Arabidopsis thaliana: one gene and its partners. The protein of the gene in region 4 interacts with the protein of the main gene of each other region in a pairwise test. Each region holds a gene or a part of one and is shown on either strand. Other genes may lie near its edges.

The links.
Region 1: the proteins of AT1G80890 (region 4) and G1 interact in a protein complementation assay, tested with the Arabidopsis thaliana proteins (one large-scale study listed by BioGRID).
Region 2: the proteins of AT1G80890 (region 4) and LUT1 interact in a protein complementation assay, tested with the Arabidopsis thaliana proteins (one large-scale study listed by BioGRID).
Region 3: the proteins of AT1G80890 (region 4) and BASS2 interact in a protein complementation assay, tested with the Arabidopsis thaliana proteins (one large-scale study listed by BioGRID).

The regions. Positions count from the first base shown.
Region 1 is NC_003074.8:19,208,973-19,212,517, reverse strand, and holds G1 (transmembrane protein G1P-related 1), read left to right. Parts: upstream 1-1,668; 5' UTR 1,669-1,854; coding exon 1,855-2,625; 3' UTR 2,626-3,003; downstream 3,004-3,545. Other genes in the region: ATG2 (metallopeptidase M24 family protein), read left to right, coding at 215-430, 516-652, 739-830, 892-1,092, 1,181-1,257. UniProt on the Arabidopsis thaliana protein: Heme-binding chaperone that may be involved in cytochrome c maturation in mitochondria.
Region 2 is NC_003074.8:19,691,100-19,698,095, reverse strand, and holds LUT1 (Cytochrome P450 superfamily protein), read right to left. Parts: upstream 5,340-6,996; 5' UTR 5,285-5,339; coding exon 4,787-5,284; intron 4,638-4,786; coding exon 4,341-4,637; intron 4,252-4,340; coding exon 4,054-4,251; intron 3,965-4,053; coding exon 3,863-3,964; intron 3,765-3,862; coding exon 3,624-3,764; intron 3,555-3,623; coding exon 3,447-3,554; intron 3,286-3,446; coding exon 3,203-3,285; intron 3,106-3,202; coding exon 2,943-3,105; intron 2,848-2,942; coding exon 2,818-2,847; 3' UTR 2,405-2,817; coding exon of another isoform or gene 2,027-2,404; intron 1,918-2,026; coding exon of another isoform or gene 1,581-1,917; intron 1,473-1,580; coding exon of another isoform or gene 1,408-1,472; intron 1,041-1,407; coding exon of another isoform or gene 741-1,040; 3' UTR 554-740; downstream 1-553. Other genes in the region: UGT73D1 (UDP-glucosyl transferase 73D1), read left to right, coding at 1-360; AT3G53140 (O-methyltransferase family protein), read right to left, coding at 741-1,040, 1,408-1,472, 1,581-1,917, 2,027-2,404; VPS37-1 (Modifier of rudimentary (Mod(r)) protein), read left to right, coding at 5,606-5,619, 5,946-6,128, 6,223-6,310, 6,741-6,780, 6,868-6,914. UniProt on the Arabidopsis thaliana protein: Heme-containing cytochrome P450 involved in the biosynthesis of xanthophylls. Specific for epsilon- and beta-ring hydroxylation of alpha-carotene. Has only a low activity toward the beta-rings of beta-carotene.
Region 3 is NC_003071.7:11,474,228-11,480,102, forward strand, and holds BASS2 (Sodium Bile acid symporter family), read right to left. Parts: upstream 3,916-5,875; 5' UTR 3,644-3,915; coding exon 3,541-3,643; intron 3,468-3,540; coding exon 3,365-3,467; intron 3,295-3,364; coding exon 3,177-3,294; intron 3,084-3,176; coding exon 3,042-3,083; intron 2,960-3,041; coding exon 2,846-2,959; intron 2,764-2,845; coding exon 2,701-2,763; intron 2,283-2,700; coding exon 2,155-2,282; intron 2,065-2,154; coding exon 1,983-2,064; intron 1,751-1,982; coding exon 1,699-1,750; intron 1,612-1,698; coding exon 1,514-1,611; intron 1,424-1,513; coding exon 1,265-1,423; intron 1,174-1,264; coding exon 1,084-1,173; intron 1,007-1,083; coding exon 929-1,006; 3' UTR 525-928; downstream 1-524.
Region 4 is NC_003070.9:30,395,548-30,398,737, reverse strand, and holds AT1G80890 (GAG1At protein), read right to left. Parts: upstream 1,611-3,190; 5' UTR 1,528-1,610; coding exon 1,377-1,527; exon of another isoform or gene 955-1,376; coding exon 863-954; 3' UTR 528-862; downstream 1-527. Other genes in the region: MGT1 (magnesium transporter 1), read left to right, coding at 85-132, 219-449; AT1G80880 (Tetratricopeptide repeat (TPR)-like superfamily protein), read left to right, coding at 1,817-2,409, 2,515-3,190.

The DNA of each region.
Region 1 (3,545 bases), on a different chromosome or scaffold from region 4:
TTTTTTTAGCGGACTTCAAATGTAAATTGTTTTGGGAAAAGATTTCTGGATGAAGACCGTAATTGTTATGGATTCGCATCCAAATGAGGCCGTAGTTACTCTGATGTGGGAAAGTTCTTTAAAATAAAGTTTCTTGCTACGAGTTTGTAGTTTCTTGTTTAGTACTACAACATATTGCAATCAAGACATTGATATTCTGTTTTTCTTATCGCAGAACACTGATGTAACTGAAGCTATTCAGAAGGTAGCTGCAGCTTATGACTGCAAAATTGTTGAAGGTGTTCTTTCCCACCAGCTGAAACAGCATGTGATAGATGGAAACAAGGTTGTGCTTAGTGTATCCAGCCCTGAAACAACTGTTGACGAAGTGGAATTTGAAGAGAATGAAGTCTATGCAATAGATATTGTGGCAAGTACTGGTGATGGCAAGGTAATTTCTTTTGTTTATCGCATCCCGATCACTATTGGTGAACCTTTGTCTATTGCCATTGTTCTCACAATCTTTGACTTTGCAGCCAAAGCTATTAGACGAGAAGCAAACAACTATTTACAAGAAAGATGAAAGTGTTAACTATCAGTTGAAGATGAAGGCCTCCAGATTCATAATCAGCGAAATTAAACAGAACTTCCCCCGTATGCCATTCACTGCAAGGTGTCTTTTGTACCTTCTGAAGCATTTTATATTCCTTAAACTATTATCTCACTTGCTAACGTTACCTGAGAGTATTATCAATACAGGTCACTGGAGGAGAAAAGGGCACGGCTTGGACTTGTGGAGTGTGTGAACCATGGTCATTTGCAACCATATCCTGTTCTTTACGAGAAGCCTGGTAAGGATGATGAAAGGGTTTTGAATCTATAAACCTCTTTTATCTGAATCTTGATATCAAGGCTCATGTCGTTTTGGTTTTCTACCAGGGGATTTTGTTGCTCAGATTAAGTTCACAGTTTTGCTGATGCCAAATGGATCAGATAGGATCACTTCACATACACTTCAGGAACTTCCTAAAAAGACCATCGAAGACCCTGAGATCAAAGGGTGGTTAGCTTTGGGCATCAAGAAGAAGAAAGGTGGTGGAAAGAAGAAGAAAGGTAAGAACTTAAAATAAATTTCCAGACTTTTACCTTATATGACGTGATCCACATGTTGATTAAAAAGGTTCAATTTGGTGTTTTGCAGCCCAAAAGGCGGGAGAGAAAGGAGAGGCTTCAACAGAGGCTGAGCCAATGGACGCAAGTAGTAATGCTCAAGAATGAGTAGGAAGATTTGTCTTTGTTTCTTTTAAAGAATTTTTGAAACTTGAGGTACCTCTTTCGTTGTATGTTTGGGTTTCAAGAGAGTCTCTTCTTAAACAAAAAAAAACAAACAATAGTTTACCACCTTTGTGCATATTTTTGCACAAAGCACTTTTCATCATCATTTCTTTGCTTGTCCTAATCTTATCTCATTCTCTAATCAAAAATACTTATCTGGTTTCAGGCTATAACAATAACTCTGTTTAGAAACACTTGTTACCAACAAACTACTCTTTGAATGTGTTTACGTGGTAAGGATTTGATCCCACAGAAGAGAAATATTTGTGACAGAAGAAAAAAACTCAGCTCTTCAATAATCGAAGCTTATACAGATTTTTGGATTGGTTGATTTTGAGATTGTAACGAATAGTAATCAGAATTTCACTTAAGAAATTGTGATTGAACCCTCTAAACCACAGAGAGGGTTCTTGACGTGGTCCATAGTTCTTCAGTGGGGCGGCTTGTGGCTTCTTTTTCATTTTTCCAGAAAACCCCATAAACCTCTCGCTCTCGGGAATTTGATTGATTCCCACGAGGAAAAATCAATCTTCCCGGAAAATGGCAGCTAGGTTATTGTTCCGTCGAAGTTCTCAAATCCTCCGATCAATTCAACGAAATCCTCAAATCTCATCGTCATTCGAATCACCACCTTGCCCGATTTTTCACTCATTGACCACCGCCTCACCAGATCCATCGCGATTATCATCCTTAACCTTCCTCCGATCTCTCTCCATCGCTCGTCGCGGTCCAACACGTCCTAAGAAAATCGATATCGGAGCCAAAGCGCGTCAGATGCAGAATCGCCGTTTATGGACCTACGCGCTAACCTTCAGCTGCATCGCCGGATTCGTAGTTATCGTCCTTAACCAATTTCAGGATCAGCTTGTCTTCTACCTAACGCCATCAGACGCTATGGAGAAATTCGCAGAGAATCCAACAAAGAACAAATTCAGACTCGGTGGTTTGGTTCTAGAAGGTAGCGTTGCGCAGCCGGCGGCGTCACAGGAGATGGAGTTTGTGATCACTGATCTGATCACTGATATTTTGGTTAGGTATAAAGGATCTTTGCCGGATCTGTTTAGGGAAGGTCATTCAGTTGTGGTTGAAGGATTCATTAAGCCGTATACAGATGAAGTAAGGAAGGAAGTTTCTACAAAACCTATTTCGAAGAAAGCTAGGAACCTCGATTGTTTCTTCTCGGCGACTGAAGTTTTGGCTAAGCATGATGAGAAGTATATGCCACAGGAAGTTGCGGCGGCGATTGAGAAGAATAAGAAAATTATTGAAGCGGCGGCGACTGAACAAGCTGCTGAAGTTGCGGCTTCTTAGATTGGTATAAACTTCATTCTTTTTAAGTTAATCAAAATTTTCCCCAAGTTCGAGCTTTTGGTGAGTATTGTTCATCTTATAAGGTTATATTTGATTATAGTTTCTGGAAAAGAGTAGGAAGATTGGAATGTTATATTCCTGGAAAACAGAGATTTGATTTTTGAGTCTATTTGAGAATTAAGTGGAGAAATGTGATACACTATACAATAGCTTTGTTTGATTCCACAAAGCTATAAGCTAATCTACTTTCTTGTTGTGTTGATCAAATAAAGAACACTTTGACGAGGGATCAAATATGCTGCTTGATTCATTGTGTTGTTGGATGTTTTGTTTGTTGTTGATGTGCACACAGATTAGAGAAGCTATGTTTTGTTGCTGCACACAGATTAGATTGATCTAGTGAATCTTATTAGCTTCATCAGGTCGTGGGTATATAATTGTAAACGTATCACCAAAGTTGTAGCTTGTGTGACCTTATTCTTATCATGACTAGGTACTATAGCCAAAAGAGTTGAACATACAGGTCTTTCAGAGCTTCCTCTTAGTTGTTCTGGAGGTTCCAAGCTCTTTCTTTGTTGTTTTATAAATATGGGTTGAGCTTGTTGACAATCTTGAAGATGGTCATGCATTCCTTTTATGCATCTTATGTTTCAACTAGGCAATTCTGGCCCTGGAGATTTCAAGTTTGTACTTTCTGAGTCGATTAGGTGCCTAGTTTTTGCCTCTAGAATCATGGCATTGGCTTCTGTTTTGGCACTTCTCTTAGGCTTGTTGGTTGATAACCAACTACTAGTCTACTAATGTAGCTGTAGTTTGAAGTGTTCCGCAGTTACGCTATTGCTTTTGCTTTTTTTAAGTGCATCTTTATATATGCATCAGTCTCTCATTGTATAGCAAATTTATCGTGGGTGGTATATGAT
Region 2 (6,996 bases), on a different chromosome or scaffold from region 4:
GGTGTACCAATGATCACATGGCCGTTGTTCGCTGAACAATTTCTCAATGAGAAACTCATCGTGGAGGTTTTGAACATCGGGGTTAGGGTTGGGGTGGAGATTCCGGTGAGATGGGGAGACGAGGAGAGACTTGGAGTGTTGGTCAAGAAACCGAGTGTTGTGAAAGCTATAAAGCTTTTGATGGACCAAGATTGTCAACGTGTAGACGAAAATGATGATGATAATGAATTCGTGAGACGAAGGAGACGTATTCAAGAACTTGCAGTAATGGCGAAAAAGGCTGTGGAAGAAAAGGGATCTTCGAGTATTAACGTTTCAATTTTAATCCAAGATGTTTTGGAGCAATTGAGTCTCGTGTAGAAAAATCGAATGTAGAAGTTGACATAAGATTTATAAGAATAACACCAAACGATTTTTCTTTTTGCCAAAGAAGAAAAATTCATATAGATATAATGTGCATAATATGTATACTTTCGAACTCTTCTCTTAGCCTAATGAGTGATTTAGAAATACTCTTGAAATCATCACTTAAAGAGTCTTTTTTCCTTTTTCTCGAAAGATGAAACTTATATATATGGAAAATGCCTTTTAAGGATGCACTTAGAATATAGACTTTAGATTATTACATCTTGATGAAAATATTAATGTCTTCACTAGATATCTCAACTCAATTAACAAAGAGGTCTTTTGATTCATTATTTTGAAGCTTTTAGAAATATGAGAAGAAAAATGCTTGAATATTACTTCTGAAACTCTAAGATGGTGTAGAAGTAATCAATGTAGAAAGGTCGAAAAGTAGGGAATCCCGCGGAGAGACCAAGCTCTATAAACTCTTCTTCGGTTCTATGCTTACCTTTGGTTCTATAGATGGTCATGACAAAGATGTCACCTTCTAACAAGGCACGAGTCCGGTGACTTTCATCGGTTTCCTTAGGCAAGACCGGCTCACACGCAATCAGCTTTCCTCCAACTGGTAACGCGTTGTAGCAATTCTTCATTATCTGCTTGCATTCTTCATCCGTCCATGTCGTTAACACCCACTTTACACTCAAACAACAATATTACAAGATATTAATTTGGGACCAGAGAAGCAAAAAATGTGTGTATTTGTTTGTGTTGTTCTTTCAACAAACATGAGATCCCTATCCATGGTCTAACAGATCACAAGTTTTTGGTTTGAGAAATGTATAATCAATATTTAAATGATCATAAATAAATGAAAGTGACCAGTCGCATGATCTAACGATAACTAAGACTATATACTACCAAACATATTGTCCGAAGCGACTTATAAATTTATACCTATATCACTAAACATTAAAACTATATACAGAAACTAGAATTCGTCCTATTAGCAAAAATGTTAGTAGGTGTATTCTCGTGACAGACAATAATGTTACAACAAACCTTCATGAAGATAGCGTCAGCGCTAGGAACTGATTGGAACATATCCCCACCCACGTGAGTCACTCCTAAACCATACAATATATCATCCATTATTACTCCGTACATTACTAAAAATAGCTTTTTACTTTCAGAAAATAACGTACGTACAATATATCATAAATACAAAATCTCACCAGGAATATTGGGGGCTTTGGCAACAACTTCAGGTAAATCGAAATTAATCCCTTCACGGACGTTAGGAAATTGTTGAAGGATCATACGCAGACAATCCCCTGCACTACCTCCTACGTCAACCAAAATATCCACTGATTTAAACCCATCGTAGCCGTCTAATATAGCTTTCATGAACGGTACAGATACGCCAGACATTGCCTTTTGCATTAGACCATTCATCTCCTCACTTTTCCCATACTGAGCGTATGCCGCCTCGCCGTTTGCTTTCACGTACGGCTCTGTCTCCGGCTCCACCACTGCCGTGTGAACTAGTGGCCATGCTCGCATCAACGCCTCCTGTAATATATATCATTTTCACAACAAGTTTTAGACATTAGTTTATTATACCATCATTAGTCCTTTAATATATCACTCCAATTTTGGAAAATGAAAATGAGTCATAAACCTGGTGATGTTGGAGGACGTAGGCAGCGTAAGAGAGGCCGCCGGAGTCGGTTACAAGAGTTTTTCCGACGTCCGTAAGAGAGTATTTCCTCTCAATGGATCCAACAAGGTGTTCGGAGAAGACACCGTAGCTGGTGAGCATCCGAAGTATACGCTGAAGATTCTCGGGGTCGCCACCAATGGTAGTGTGAGATGGTAGGTGGAGGCGAGGGAGGATCTCGGCGGCAGAGAGAGGAGAATTGGCTCCGCCGTTCCAAATGGCGTCGGCAATGCCTAGTCGCACGGCGGCATTGAGAGACATGGGAACGCTAATCATGTTAGCAAGCTCCATAATGGCAAGACGAGCTCTGTTTCTACTCTCTGAGCTTTCGTTCTCCATTTTTTTTAATCTTCCTCGTACGTGAAAGTGAAACTACACATCGCTATAGAACCCACTAGTATTGGTTTTATATGGTTTTATATGGTTTTTAAGGTTAATGTTACGTGTGGTCCATATGGAATGGGATGGTTTTAGACCTTAGTCTATTATTTAGAAATTCAAAAAAAAATAAAATTTTGATTTTCGTAATTACTGAAAAATGGAGAACAAACACAAGCTGTATGAAAGTTTGATTTGAAATGATAACACAATTACCAAACTTTAATGGTACTAGCATCTCACTGTTCAAAATTCACATTTCCGATGGTACAACTATTTTCCATAATTCATTTTTTTGTGGTTATTTCTCAAGAGTACTATGAAACAAGTCCATTCACACCAATCAATTATCATGAAAACATAAATTCTGGTTTTTACCTTTGGCTCACCTTCATATACAATCCCTGAAATTGAAAATATCAGCATTAGAGAAATTGGAATCATTCTAAACAAAACAGACACTCTCATTAATCTCTCGAGTGTGAGAACATTGGCATACATTGGTGGTGTGTATGGTTGCTCCTGTGGTCATGCTAATGGTCTGATCAGGAACCAGCTCAACGTTTAACCGCTGAAGAAACACCGCGAGTGCCACAATTGCCTCCATCAATGCAAACTGATCGCCTACACATTTTCTAGGCCCTCCACTGAATGGGATGAATCTGGTGAAAAAAGAAAATCATCTTTTAAATTCCCTAATCAAAACCACTAATCTTGATTCAGTAGTTTGTGTCAAAAGATGTGTTCTACTGAGTTTACTTGAAATCAGTGTTTGTTTCGTTAGGGATTGCGCCATCTATGTCGAATCGTTCAGGCAGAAATTCCTCAGCTTTTTCCCATACCTTTGGAATAACAAACAACAAACACATAAGAAATGTGGGCATGAATGTAATACTAGGAATGTCCACTCCGGTTAGATATCCGAACCACACAAAGATCATTGAAGAGAAGGATTAGGCTCCCCTATGTTATACTATGGACGAGAGAAGGAAGAGAACTGTACCTCGGAAGAACGATGGATGTTATAGACTGAAATCATAATGTCTTGTCCGGTATTGACCTTATAGTTCCCAGGAAGAATGTCAGGAACTTGAGCTCTTCTTATCAAGACCTACCAGGAAACAAATCAATCAGAAAATTTAGTTCATGAATAATTAGAGAGATGAGCTTGATTGCTTACAGGAGGATGAGGATAGAGACGCATTGACTCGTTTATACAACGAGTGATGTACTTCAACTCCTTTATATCCTCGAAAGCCGGGTTTCTTCCTTCTAACACTCTGTCTACTTCTTCTTGTGCTTTCCTTAATGCAGATGAGTTCTATGAACATAGAGAATTTGAAGAGGTAAATGAGAACAGAGAAGCTCCCATCCAAGTAAATTCTCTAGCATAGCAAAGTAGAAGATACATTAAGGTACCTTACTTAGGAGATAAAGTGTCCAAGTGAGGACAGATCCAGTGGTTTCATGACCCGCTACGAGCATTGAGAGAAGATCATCCCGTAACTGCACACTTGATACCTGAAAACCCTCACAATGCAACATCAGCTTCGATTATGCGATAATGAAAGGCCAAATTTGCTTATAAACTTAAGGAAAAAAGTTTAAACCTCTTCTCTGCTTGCAAGCAAGAAACGCAGGATACTTGGGTCAGCATCATTTACATACTCCTCATCATTGATTCTTTCGCCTTCTCTTTCGACAATTTCTTTACACTTAGCAATAAGGTCTTCAACAGTTTCCCTTATCAAAGTTACAGCCTTTTCAGCTTTCACCTGTCTCGGGACTATCTTACACAATGCATCGATCTGAAAAAAACAACCAAACCCTCTCAATTAACAAGAATCCAATTGTTCCACACAATCAACAAACCACAGAAAAAACACAGGAAACTTGCCTTCCAATATGGCAGAAGATCAGTAGAACGAAGCTCAGCTTCTTTAAGAGCAGTGTAAACAGCTTCAATGACAGGACTATCAGTAGTCAAAGAATCGAAATTGTAGTTAAAAAGAGACAACCCAATGACATCAAGTGTCATCTGAGAGAACTTCGCTTCCATATTCACAGCACTTCCGTCTTCTGCATAAGGCTGCAACTTCTCAACAAGCCTCTCTGCACATTTGCAGAATACTCTCTCCACAATCACAGACAAATACCTCCTGTGAAGCGATGGAACCACCGCTCTACGCCTCGCCTATGTAAAAAATCAGACTTCAGCTAAGCCCAATAGAGAAGATTGGAATCTAAACCCTAAAATTAGAGTTACTTATCATACAAGACAGTCACACATTACTTCCACAATTCCAAAAACTTCAAAATTGAGATAGGAGGAGATGAAATTACTGTCCAAAGAGGTCCTTCAGCGATAGCGAAACCCGAACCAAATAGAAATTCAGAGACTTCAGCGACTAAGCCTTTAGCGTACTTTGGATAATTCCTCAAAACATGTTTAGCTATCGCTGGGTCGCTCACAATTACGAAATTACGAGGACCAGCAGCGAGACGGTAAATGGGTCCGTACTCATTCATCCATTTGTAGAGAGGTAAGAAGAGAGCACCTCCGAGGAGATCAGCGACATCGTCGAGCTTCGCGTTCGCGATTGGTATACCTGACTCGTCGTTTTTTCCTGAGGAAAGGGTACGAGTGAGTGTTGTGAGCCAATCGGGACTGACCCATGATTGGGATTTCGATGAATTGGTCTCGAGTTTGGGTTTGGGTTTCTCAATGGAGGATCTGATGGAGAATGTGAATTTGGGTTTTGGTGATAAAAGACGCGTAGGTTTTGCAGTGAAGAGAGAAGAGTAAGAAGAGGAAGATGGAGAAAAGAGTGAAGACTCCATTGATGACCTCTTTTCGAAGCTTCCGTGCAGAAATATTTGACTCTGTGTAGAAACGCGAACCGTTACGCGTGGATAAGGACGACGATGCATAAAACGACTACGTTTTGTTAATCAAAACTTAATATGGGCCTCCTCGTATTTGGGCCTTTTAAAAGCAAGTAGCAAAATCTGAAACGAAACAGAGAAGATCGAATTTTCTTTGAAACTCTGTAAACTCTGTTTCTGTAAAGTTGTTAAATTTTGTCGATCTGGTAGGAAGAAGAAGTACAAGAGAACAAGAAAAAGTCAATTCCTTTCGTTAGTCGGCGAATTCTAGAAACGATGTTCAATTTCTGGTATGATTTTGCGAATTTTTTGCCATCTGATTCATATGTTATTGATGAAATTGCGTGATCCAGACATTAGGTCTGTTAGCGATTAAGGAAATCTTGTTGTTGTGTAGTTTGTTGAGCTATAATGATATATTTGAGGTTTTTGAGGTGAATTGACAAGTGTAGATTTTGCTCAGCTACTGATTTAGGGTTCATAGTTACTGATATTAGGTTTACAATGATGTGCTGTATAAATGCACCTTTCAAGTTTATGAGGTGATGTATTATATTAACTTGGAAGCTGAGATAGTTAGTTGATGATGTTTCTTTTTTTTGTTGTGTACGTGAAGGGGATCAAAAGACCAACAACAAGGGCAATCTCGTCCTCAGGAAGCTTCTTCACAGTCGCCATGGTACTCGCCTTCTTTAGTTAGCTCGCCAAGCTCATCCCGGCCTCAAAGTTCAGGTCAGATTTCAGCACAAGTATCACCGGGTGAAGCAGCTGGCATTATCGTCTTCTTGAAAGACAAAAGGTTTGCTCTTTTTGTTTGTTTGTTTGTTATCCTTCTCTCGAGTGTGCGTTTTTTTTGTATGTCTTCTTTTTGAATAGTGTATACTTTTCTGTAGCGTGGATGAACTCAGGAAGCTTCTCTCTGACAAAGATGCGTATCAGCAATTTCTGCTCTCTCTTGACCAGGTCAAAGTCCAGAATAATGTAAGTCTCTAAAACAGTCAGTTGTTTCTGGATAGCTAAGAGTATTACTATTAATTGTAGTCCTAAGAATGGAGCTTCGTTAGTTATGTGTTGATATTATTCATTGGTGCTCTTTCAAGTATATACATTGATATTGTTTGAGGAAGCCTTTATCATGGCGTCATCTTCTACATGTTGCCAGTAATTAGAGCTTTCTGGTTCTTTGTTATAGTCTCTAAAACAGTCGGTTGTTTCTGGATAACCGAGGGTCTTATCTGTAGCTCTAAGAATATGTAGCTTCTTTAGTTCTGTGTTGATATAATTCATTAGTGCTCTTTCAAGTCTATACATTGATATTGTTTGATAAAGCCTGTATCATGTCATCAGCTTTCTGGTTCCTTGTTATAGTCTCTGGACGTTAATTTTTTCGTGATTTGTTTCTGTCCGTCAGATCAAAGATGAGCTCCGTAGAGAAACATTGCAGCTAGCTAGTAAGTACTCTATGGTTCATGTAATTCTACAGGAAACTTTAGTTCAATCCAGAAATCTAGAACTTTCCATTTGATCAAATGTAACAGGAGACAACTTGGAGAAGGAGCCACAGATAATGGAGCTCAGAAACCAAGTGTGTATCAAGAACCAACTTTTCTTGTTCAGTTTTACCATGTTATACCTTTTCGATATCTCTGATTTACCAGTCTTTACTT
Region 3 (5,875 bases), on a different chromosome or scaffold from region 4:
TGTTGTTGTTGCTGTTGTTTTTACAGTGTGACGACTTTGTTTGAGAGGGTTAAAGGCTAAAGGCCATTTTTGATTCGGTGTCTCTCCGGTGCAAATGCAATCATCATCAATTCTTCTGTTCCTTTAACGCGGATTAAACGTGTGTCAAAATGTATAATTGTCTAGATTACTATTTCTTTGGCTCTTTCAACAAATGAATTAGCACGTATATTAAAAAAATATGAAAACTAAAAATATTACTAATTAAAAAAAAAACAGAAAATCTATATGGGAAACATTCTACAGTAAAAGAAATGTTAAAATATAGCTAAACATTTTTTACTGTAAACTGAAAACATTTTTTACCACCATTTATACACTGAGACCAGAACTCCAGAAGCATAGTACTATTCCAATCATGTAAAGACCAAAATACAATGAGACTCTTCACCTTATTGAAACCGAGATCAACTGGCCACATTCCAATCAACTTTACATGTTTACTTATGTTAATTGTTGGAAGTTGTGTTTTCATCAGAAAAGGAAACACTCAAATCTAATTTAAAATGAAAATTCACCAAAACCACCTAATGCTAAAAACATCAAAACTTATCATTGCTGACAAAAGACGTATATGAGCTAAGAGAAGTCATGGCTGGAAATGAGGGAGTGCATTGTGAGAGTAGACAGGATTCCGGGAACAACGCTAATCCCAATCTGAAACTTAGATTCAAAATTTGGAGAAGGTGTGCCAAAAAAGATTTGTCCATTAATTGAGAAATAAAAAAAAGGTTGACCACAAAGTTGTCATCATGCACGCCCTTGTTTCTATGTCTCTTAAACACATTTTGTTTCATGTTTTTCAACACAAATTTTGTAATGTTTACTAACATTACAACAAAACAATCACATCGTTTGGAGAAGATGCAAACCGCCTTTCCTACTTCATTTACTCTTTGAAGTCATCCTTGTCATCTGCCGGAATCGGTAGGTTTCTCCAGAACACGGCCAGGCCGCTCCCGCCAAGCTGCAGAATGCCATTGAACATAATTAAACTTAAGGAATTTGCATGTGAACTTTAGTGAAATGGCTATGAAAACTTACCGCCATACAGACAACACTGACTGCAGAAGGAACAGCAACTAGAGGGTTTGTGAAATGCTTTTGTGCAAGCAAGAACCCGAGCGCTGAACTCTGCGGTTTGCAAAGTACACAGATTTTCAAAAAGAAGCCTTAGTAAAGCAAACGGCAATGTATATCTACGGTATAGGAGAAAGTAACTTACTTGCATTCCACATTCTATAGAAATGGTACGCGAAGTGGACTCGCCGAAAGAAAACTTTGAAATCCAATAGCCAATAGCAAAGGCTGCAGCATGAAGGAGTGCCACCGGGAGTATAAGTTGAGCTCCTTGGGTTTTCAAAACATCTGCAACTTGTCCAATCTTTTCAGAAGAGATAAGGTAGTAATCAATACCAATTCCAGTCTCAAAATTCAATAAAAAAAATATATATATCTGGATATATGAACTTACAGGGCTGGCACAGAGCAGAGTAGTCAGAATGACTCCGATTAGAGGCGTCACTGTTATGATCTTAGACGTAAATTTAGGAAAGAACTCATTTGCCAGAACTGCACACAATGCAGAAAAAGACATTAGTCCCTAAGGATATATAAGCACAAATTCATTTTTCCGGAAACACGTAGCACCATACTTACCTCCAATTATGGTAGGAACCAACACTACTTGGAACGTACTAAGAGCAAGTCCCTGACGTAAAAAAATGGATCCATAAGCTTTCGTTGTGGAGGGCTGCAACTATATTCTAATAGAGTTCTTGCGCTTCATTCTACTTTAAATCATTCAATAACTTTTACTGAACCATGATTATTCATATTTTAGCTAAGTGAAATGTATCTTATATTTCATACATAAAAAGAAATGTATCTTATCAATGCAATTTTGAATGAAACGATTCAAAATAGTTATAGAGAAAACTCACAGCAGCGTCAACGGGAACAAGCTGACCAGCAAGAAGCTTAGTAAGAAGAGGAGTCATTATAATAGCCCCAATGGTTGAACACCTAATAAATTAAAGAACAGATAATGTATATGAAATCTGACCAATAAAATTAAAGAACGAAAAGAGAAAGAAGTGAAAATAGAAGGATTACGTTGTCATGAGTACAGAGAGCGCTACATTCCCCTTGGAAATGTAAGTAGCAACGTTTGACGCCTGTCCTCCAGGGCAGCATGAGACTAGGATAAGGCCAGTCGCAAGAGGTGCCGAAAGCTTAAGAGTCTAAAATAAAACACACAGAAAAAGTTTGTATTAGTTGGCTGCTCAACAATTAATGTTAACCAAATGTAGTGTTTCCAAATGCACATAGCATATGTCCATATCAATCCTCTCTACAAGAGAAATCCCTCAAGGAGTAAGTGAGTATGCCAGGAATTGTTTCTACAGTAACTAGAAAGCAAATATTTGATTCAAACGTTTCAAGAAAAAGTGATGTTTGGACATGCAACGACTCTTGGATCTAAGTTAATCAAAGAAAGAATATTCCAATCAACATTTGATTTGGCTAAAGCGTATACAGCCCATAGAAGTAAAAACGGACGAAGAGAACCAATATCTTAAACAAAATAGAATATTGCATAAGCATCCATTTCAGAGAAGCAAATAGAAGTAAATGTGATAGACATTAGTGGAAACATACCATTGCAATGAGAAAACCTAGAATTGGCTTGATCATATATTGAGCAAGAAAACCAACACCCACCTGCAGGAGAAAGACTCTAAACGTTAAACAGGTACTGTATCTAACAGATAGAAAAAACACACCAGTGTTCATTGGCTCTCACCGTCCATGGATTACGTAAACATCTTCTGAAATCTTCAAACGTAAGAGTCAAACCCATGGAAAGCATAAGAAATCCAAGACCTAGAGTAAAGAGATCTGTTTCCAACCATGTAACCTACAAAACTTAAATCTATAAGCCCCAAAAACATAGATTGCTACAGTAAATAAACAATAACAAAGAAGCATAAAAAGCATACCAAGGATGGCTTGAAGATGCCAACAAGTGTTCCCAAAATAACCTGCACAACAAACAAAAACCACATTGCTCCATATCAGTTATCAAACTCACAAAAAGTTTCAAACTTCATCAAAGAAAGGTATAGCATAAGTACCCAAAGTGGAAAAAGGGTTGTCAAAAGCTCAATAATCTTCTCATACTGACTAAGTTCCTTAGGAGTACTCTCAGGTAAGTCACCTGACACACCAGCAGCAGCTTTGCAAACAACCCTCCTGTAAAAATTACAATTTTTAATAAACCCAAATCCTTAAACTTGTTTACACATTCACCAAATTACAATACCTGGAGGAAGTTGCTTCAAGAGCAAAGACAGGGCTAATAGGTTTACTATTCTGAATCCTCAAACTTATCCCAGAGTTACTAACAGAAACTAACTTGGGAAAATCTGAAGAAAAATATATGATTCAGCAAATTGACTCTTAGAAATCTGAAACCAGAGAAGTATAAAGGATAGATACCTAAGTGAGTTTGAGTTCTGGTTGTAGAAGGAACCCACGAGGTGTTGATTCTGCATTGACTTAATCTGCCATCTGTTGGTAAGATTCTGGAAATGGAAGCCATGTTTTGATCAAAAGGGTTTTAGGATGTTGGTGAATCAGAGAAGATGAGTTAGTGACATCTCCAAATGAGGAGGAGACAAAGGGTTTTGTGGAGTGTTGTGAAAGAGAGGAGAGCCACACATTCTTCATCTGCCCCTTTCATCAACAATCCTATCTGGAAAATATCTACTTAACATTTTTGGATCGATTCTACTACAACTACGTCGATGTGTGTGTGTTTTTTTTTTTTTTTCCTGTCGTCATTTCCGATGTGTTTTCGAACAGAACCTAATTGAGATTTGAGTGTTCGGTTAACCAGTCGATTAATAGAAGTGGTCCGATCGGTAACTTTTCCTATTGGTTAGGTACGGTTAATCGAACAATCTTTTAACCATTTTTTCTAATTTTTTAAACTAATATAAACAAATCATATCCAATTTTATAAACTAATACCAAAATTCTTTAAAATTGCTATACAAACCAAATTTTTGTATGGATTTGAGACACATTACCGAACTGAGTTAACTGATAACTGAACCGATCCAAACCGAATTTTTGTTCGGTTAAATTTGGCAGTCTTATCTCCTAACTAGATACTCGAAAAACCAATTATCCAAACCGAACGGTTCGGTTCGCTCAAAAGTCGTATGCCTAAGTTTCACATGTATTAATCAATCATATCTATTGAATTTTTTTTGTTTACAGTCTGATTGTATTGTTAAACAAGATTGTATATTTTTATACATTTTAGTTTATATATGGATAAGATGCACATATTCACTATGGTTCATACCACAGAAATTCTATATTTGAAAACTGTGCTGCAAAAACATATTTATTGATGTTGGAAAAGTCAATCAAGATGTAGAAATATGCTGAAAATATGGTCTATTTCCACCAAATGATTTGCCTCTATTTTTACTGTGAAAATAGCTTTATTAGTTAGATAAACTCATAAAATCAAGACAATCACATGATGAAGTATTGATTTAACACATTTTGAAACACTACACGTTAATTTATTCGACTGAACAAATACAAAGTTTTCATTAAATGTGAGTGCTGAGTTCTGTGACAGTTTGTTTGAATTTTCTGGATAATGATTAGCACCATGCCCCAGCCAAGAAACCCCCATACTTTGTTTGTAACCATTAATATTAATATTTTGGTTGGCGACAGACAAATCTTTGGCCGACGAAGCTGATTTTCACTCTTTCACTGCCAAATTTTGTATGTTTCATCGACATTTTTACATTTGAAAATCTTATGTTTTTGGTTTTGTTGGGGGATATGCATAAATTTCTTAAGAGATAAATAATAAGTAGAATCGTCGAGAGATGTATAATCTAGTTTATGTTTCTTGGCCTCTACTCTACTTTTCTTTCTTTGCATTCTCTTTAAATTCCCATTCTTCGTTTATTTAAAGATGCATGTTCGAATCTTCTCTACTTCTACAAACTAAATGGAATGACATAAGGTTATGTCTCTCTATGAATATTGTTGGATATAAACAAGTTGAACTACAATGATTCAACGCAGGTTGTTCAACACTCACTCTCTCAGCTTTGGCATCTTAAGACACTTTTACGATATATCCACTCCTAGTTTTTAGGAAAAGAACAAGACTGTCACATCTTTCAAAAGTCATCAACCCGCAACCAAACTTTTATTTCATTTGTCTCGTTAGATTAGATGCTTGATGAATTGAGTCTCAATACCTCCTAAAGTGAAGAAAGGTCTCGGGAGGAAACAAAATGACCTTAAGATATTAGATTTTTGGTTGGAAATTTGGAATGTTAAATTTTATTCAACAAAAAATTATCTACATAGTTTGAAAGGAGATTACAACAAGAGAGGACCAATGAAATAAAAGCATTAATAGAATGCTAGCTTAAAATTCAAAGAAATAGATCAGCTATGATCGGCCATGAAACCAAAGAGAATGGATCCGATGGCTAGTCATCAATCTCTTAATGTTAACAAAGAGTAGATCTGATTTTGATCAAAACAGGCCAGACCCGTACTTCGTCATCGTATATCATTATTTTTTATTTTCTGTTTCTTGAAAACAAAAAGAAAAAACTATTTGTAATCACATAACAATTTGTTGAAAGACAAAAAAAAAGAGAGAGAGAGACTAATATCTACTTGTATACTGTTATTTTTTTTTACCATTTCTATTAATTATTTTGTTATTATTCGTTAAAAACTTTATCTATCTTTTATGACCAATAATGATGCATAATTTATTCTA
Region 4 (3,190 bases):
ACCTCGCCTTTGTGATCATTCATCATCTTGTTTTAACAGCTTTTAAAAGCGGTTTAATCACCTGCAACTCTCTTTACTCTTCAGTTAAAGGAGTACATCGATGATACCGAAGATTTCATCAACATTCAATTGGTATACCTTGAAATCTTGATCTTTTTTAGATATCTTATTTGCTTAGAAAACCTTAAGAATCTGCTGAAAATTTCTGGAATTTGCAGGATAACGTACGGAATCAGCTGATCCAATTCGAGCTGCTGCTAACTACTGCCACATTCGTTGTAGCCATCTTCGGGGTTGTAGCCGGGATCTTTGGGATGAATTTTGAGATAGACTTCTTTGAAAAGCCTGGTGCTTTCAAATGGGTTTTAGCCATTACTGGAGTGTGTGGCCTTGTTGTATTTTTGGCATTCCTCTGGTACTACAAACGTAGAAGACTCATGCCTCTGTGAAGACATAACTACCCTGACACGTAGACGATTGTTTTACTGTTTATGTTGCTTAAATCTATACATTAATCGCCTGTGACCTTTACAAGATAAAACCCCGTGTATTTTTTTTTTGGGTTACTGAAAGATTATTAAGCAAACCATACCAGACTCATCTTGATCTTTCACTTTATGGATTGTCCTAGTCGAAACTCACAGCTCACACAACAGTATCGTAAAGGATGAATCCTTTAACTTATCGCAAATTTACATATCTTCGATAAAGAAACCTAAGTGTAGAGTGTAAAGATACATATCTGAACTGAACCACACTCTAGAACAGACATGGCTGAGTTTATAGACATGGAAACGATGATGTATGGATCCATTCACAAAATGTAGTTGACTAGAGTCTCCATCCAAGTGGGGGGAGATGACTACTTATCCGAGGATGAAGATGATGAGAGACGAGCTTTTCGAGCTTTATCAGCTTTTTCCAAGTAATCTTGGTGAGAACGATGCTTTGATCCTGAAACAAACCAGATTTACCAAACAACAAAAGCCAATAAGAGAAACAATTAGCCTATATAATGAACAAAACAAGGAGAATATTACCAAATGTCACATATAGCAAATAAGATATTTAACCATTGAGATTATGCAATTGAATCGATGTGTGATCATCAGGGGAAAAAGCAAACAAACTTGGTAAAAAATGTGATCATGCAAGTCTATTATGATCCAAACAGAATAAACATTGTGACTCATCATTATCATATAATCAAACTCTATTTGATCGACCACTTGATTGCATTTGCCAAGAAATATAAAGTTAGAAACTTTAGATTCTAAATCTTTCAGCTATTGATATCATCATCCTCTTCCATTTCGGAATCTACAGAGAAACATCTATTTATATATTTCAATCTAAATCGCCCAGAGAAAACGAACCTTGATTCATTAGATACCAAGGGATTCCGAAGATGATGGAGATAATCCCGATCCCAGCCAAAACGTGCTTCTTCTCCCCACTGTAGACATAGTGCTCCATCTTTGCCCTAATTCCTCCTCCTCCCAAATTGCTCTTGCTCTCATTTCCCATCTCGATCTCCACAGGTTTTGCTTCTTCTTCTTCTTCTTCTTCTTCTTCTTCTTCTTCTTCTTCTTCTTCTAGGGTTTATCAGGAATTAGATCCCTCTCTCTCTCGGATCTTTTAAAGAAATCTAAAATGGGCCCTATTTAGGCCCATTCATATTAGTGTTACTTTGTTTATTACCATATTAGACCCCATATTATCTATATATTCGTTTTTGACCCCATTAACTTCATATCCTCATCCCATTAAGACCATGTTTGAAATGTATTAATTTAAGCCTTCTCACTCACTCGCTATGGCCGCGATCGTTGCCATTGGTAGGAAACTCGCGCGAACGCCACAATGGCGGATTGTTCAGCATCAATCTCTGCTACGTCGTGCAGTGTCGACGTCGTTTTCGAGCTCAGTTTCCCAAAATCATTCCTTCTCTTCAGCATTTCATCGAGCAGGTCATGTGCATTCTCAAGTTTTAAGCTATCTCCCACATTTTGCCTCTTCTAATCGCTTCTCCACCAAAACCATCTCCGAAACATTTGATATCAACTTAACAGCATTGGCTCCGTTAGAAAAGGGTCTGATTGATTTAATCAGACAGGTCTCTGAGCTGGAGTCAGAGGCGGATGCCATGGCTTCTCTGGAGGACTCATCATTTGATCTAAATCATGATTCTTTCTACTCCTTAATCTGGGAATTAAGAGATGAATGGAGGCTTGCCTTTCTAGCATTCAAATGGGGAGAGAAACGCGGCTGTGATGATCAGAAATCTTGTGATTTGATGATCTGGGTGTTGGGTAATCATCAAAAGTTCAACATTGCTTGGTGTTTGATCCGTGATATGTTTAATGTTTCAAAGGATACTAGAAAGGCCATGTTTCTCATGATGGACAGGTTCGGTTTCGTCTTCTTGATAAAAGTTTCTCTTTTGTTGTGCTAAATTGAAAGATTTACTAGCTAGGTATTGAATTGGTTGTCTTGGTGACGGTGTTGATGTAGATATGCTGCTGCTAATGATACTAGCCAAGCTATTCGGACATTTGATATTATGGATAAGTTTAAACACACTCCTTATGATGAAGCATTTCAAGGATTGCTATGTGCATTGTGTAGACATGGCCACATTGAAAAAGCTGAAGAGTTCATGCTTGCAAGCAAAAAGCTCTTTCCGGTGGATGTTGAGGGATTCAACGTAATTCTTAATGGTTGGTGTAACATTTGGACTGATGTGACTGAAGCAAAGAGGATTTGGCGAGAGATGGGGAATTACTGTATCACGCCTAACAAGGACTCTTACAGTCACATGATCTCTTGCTTCTCTAAAGTTGGGAACCTTTTTGATTCTCTCAGGCTATACGATGAAATGAAGAAACGGGGATTGGCTCCAGGGATTGAAGTTTACAATTCCTTGGTTTATGTGTTGACCCGTGAGGATTGCTTTGATGAAGCTATGAAGCTTATGAAAAAGTTGAACGAGGAAGGATTAAAGCCAGATTCAGTGACCTACAACTCGATGATACGCCCCCTTTGTGAGGCTGGAAAGCTGGACGTAGCCAGGAATGTATTGGCAACCATGATTAGTGAGAACCTTAGTCCAACAGTTGATACATTTCATGCATTCCTTGAGGCTGTAAATTTCGAGAAAACTTTAGAGGTTTTAGGCCAAATGAAGATC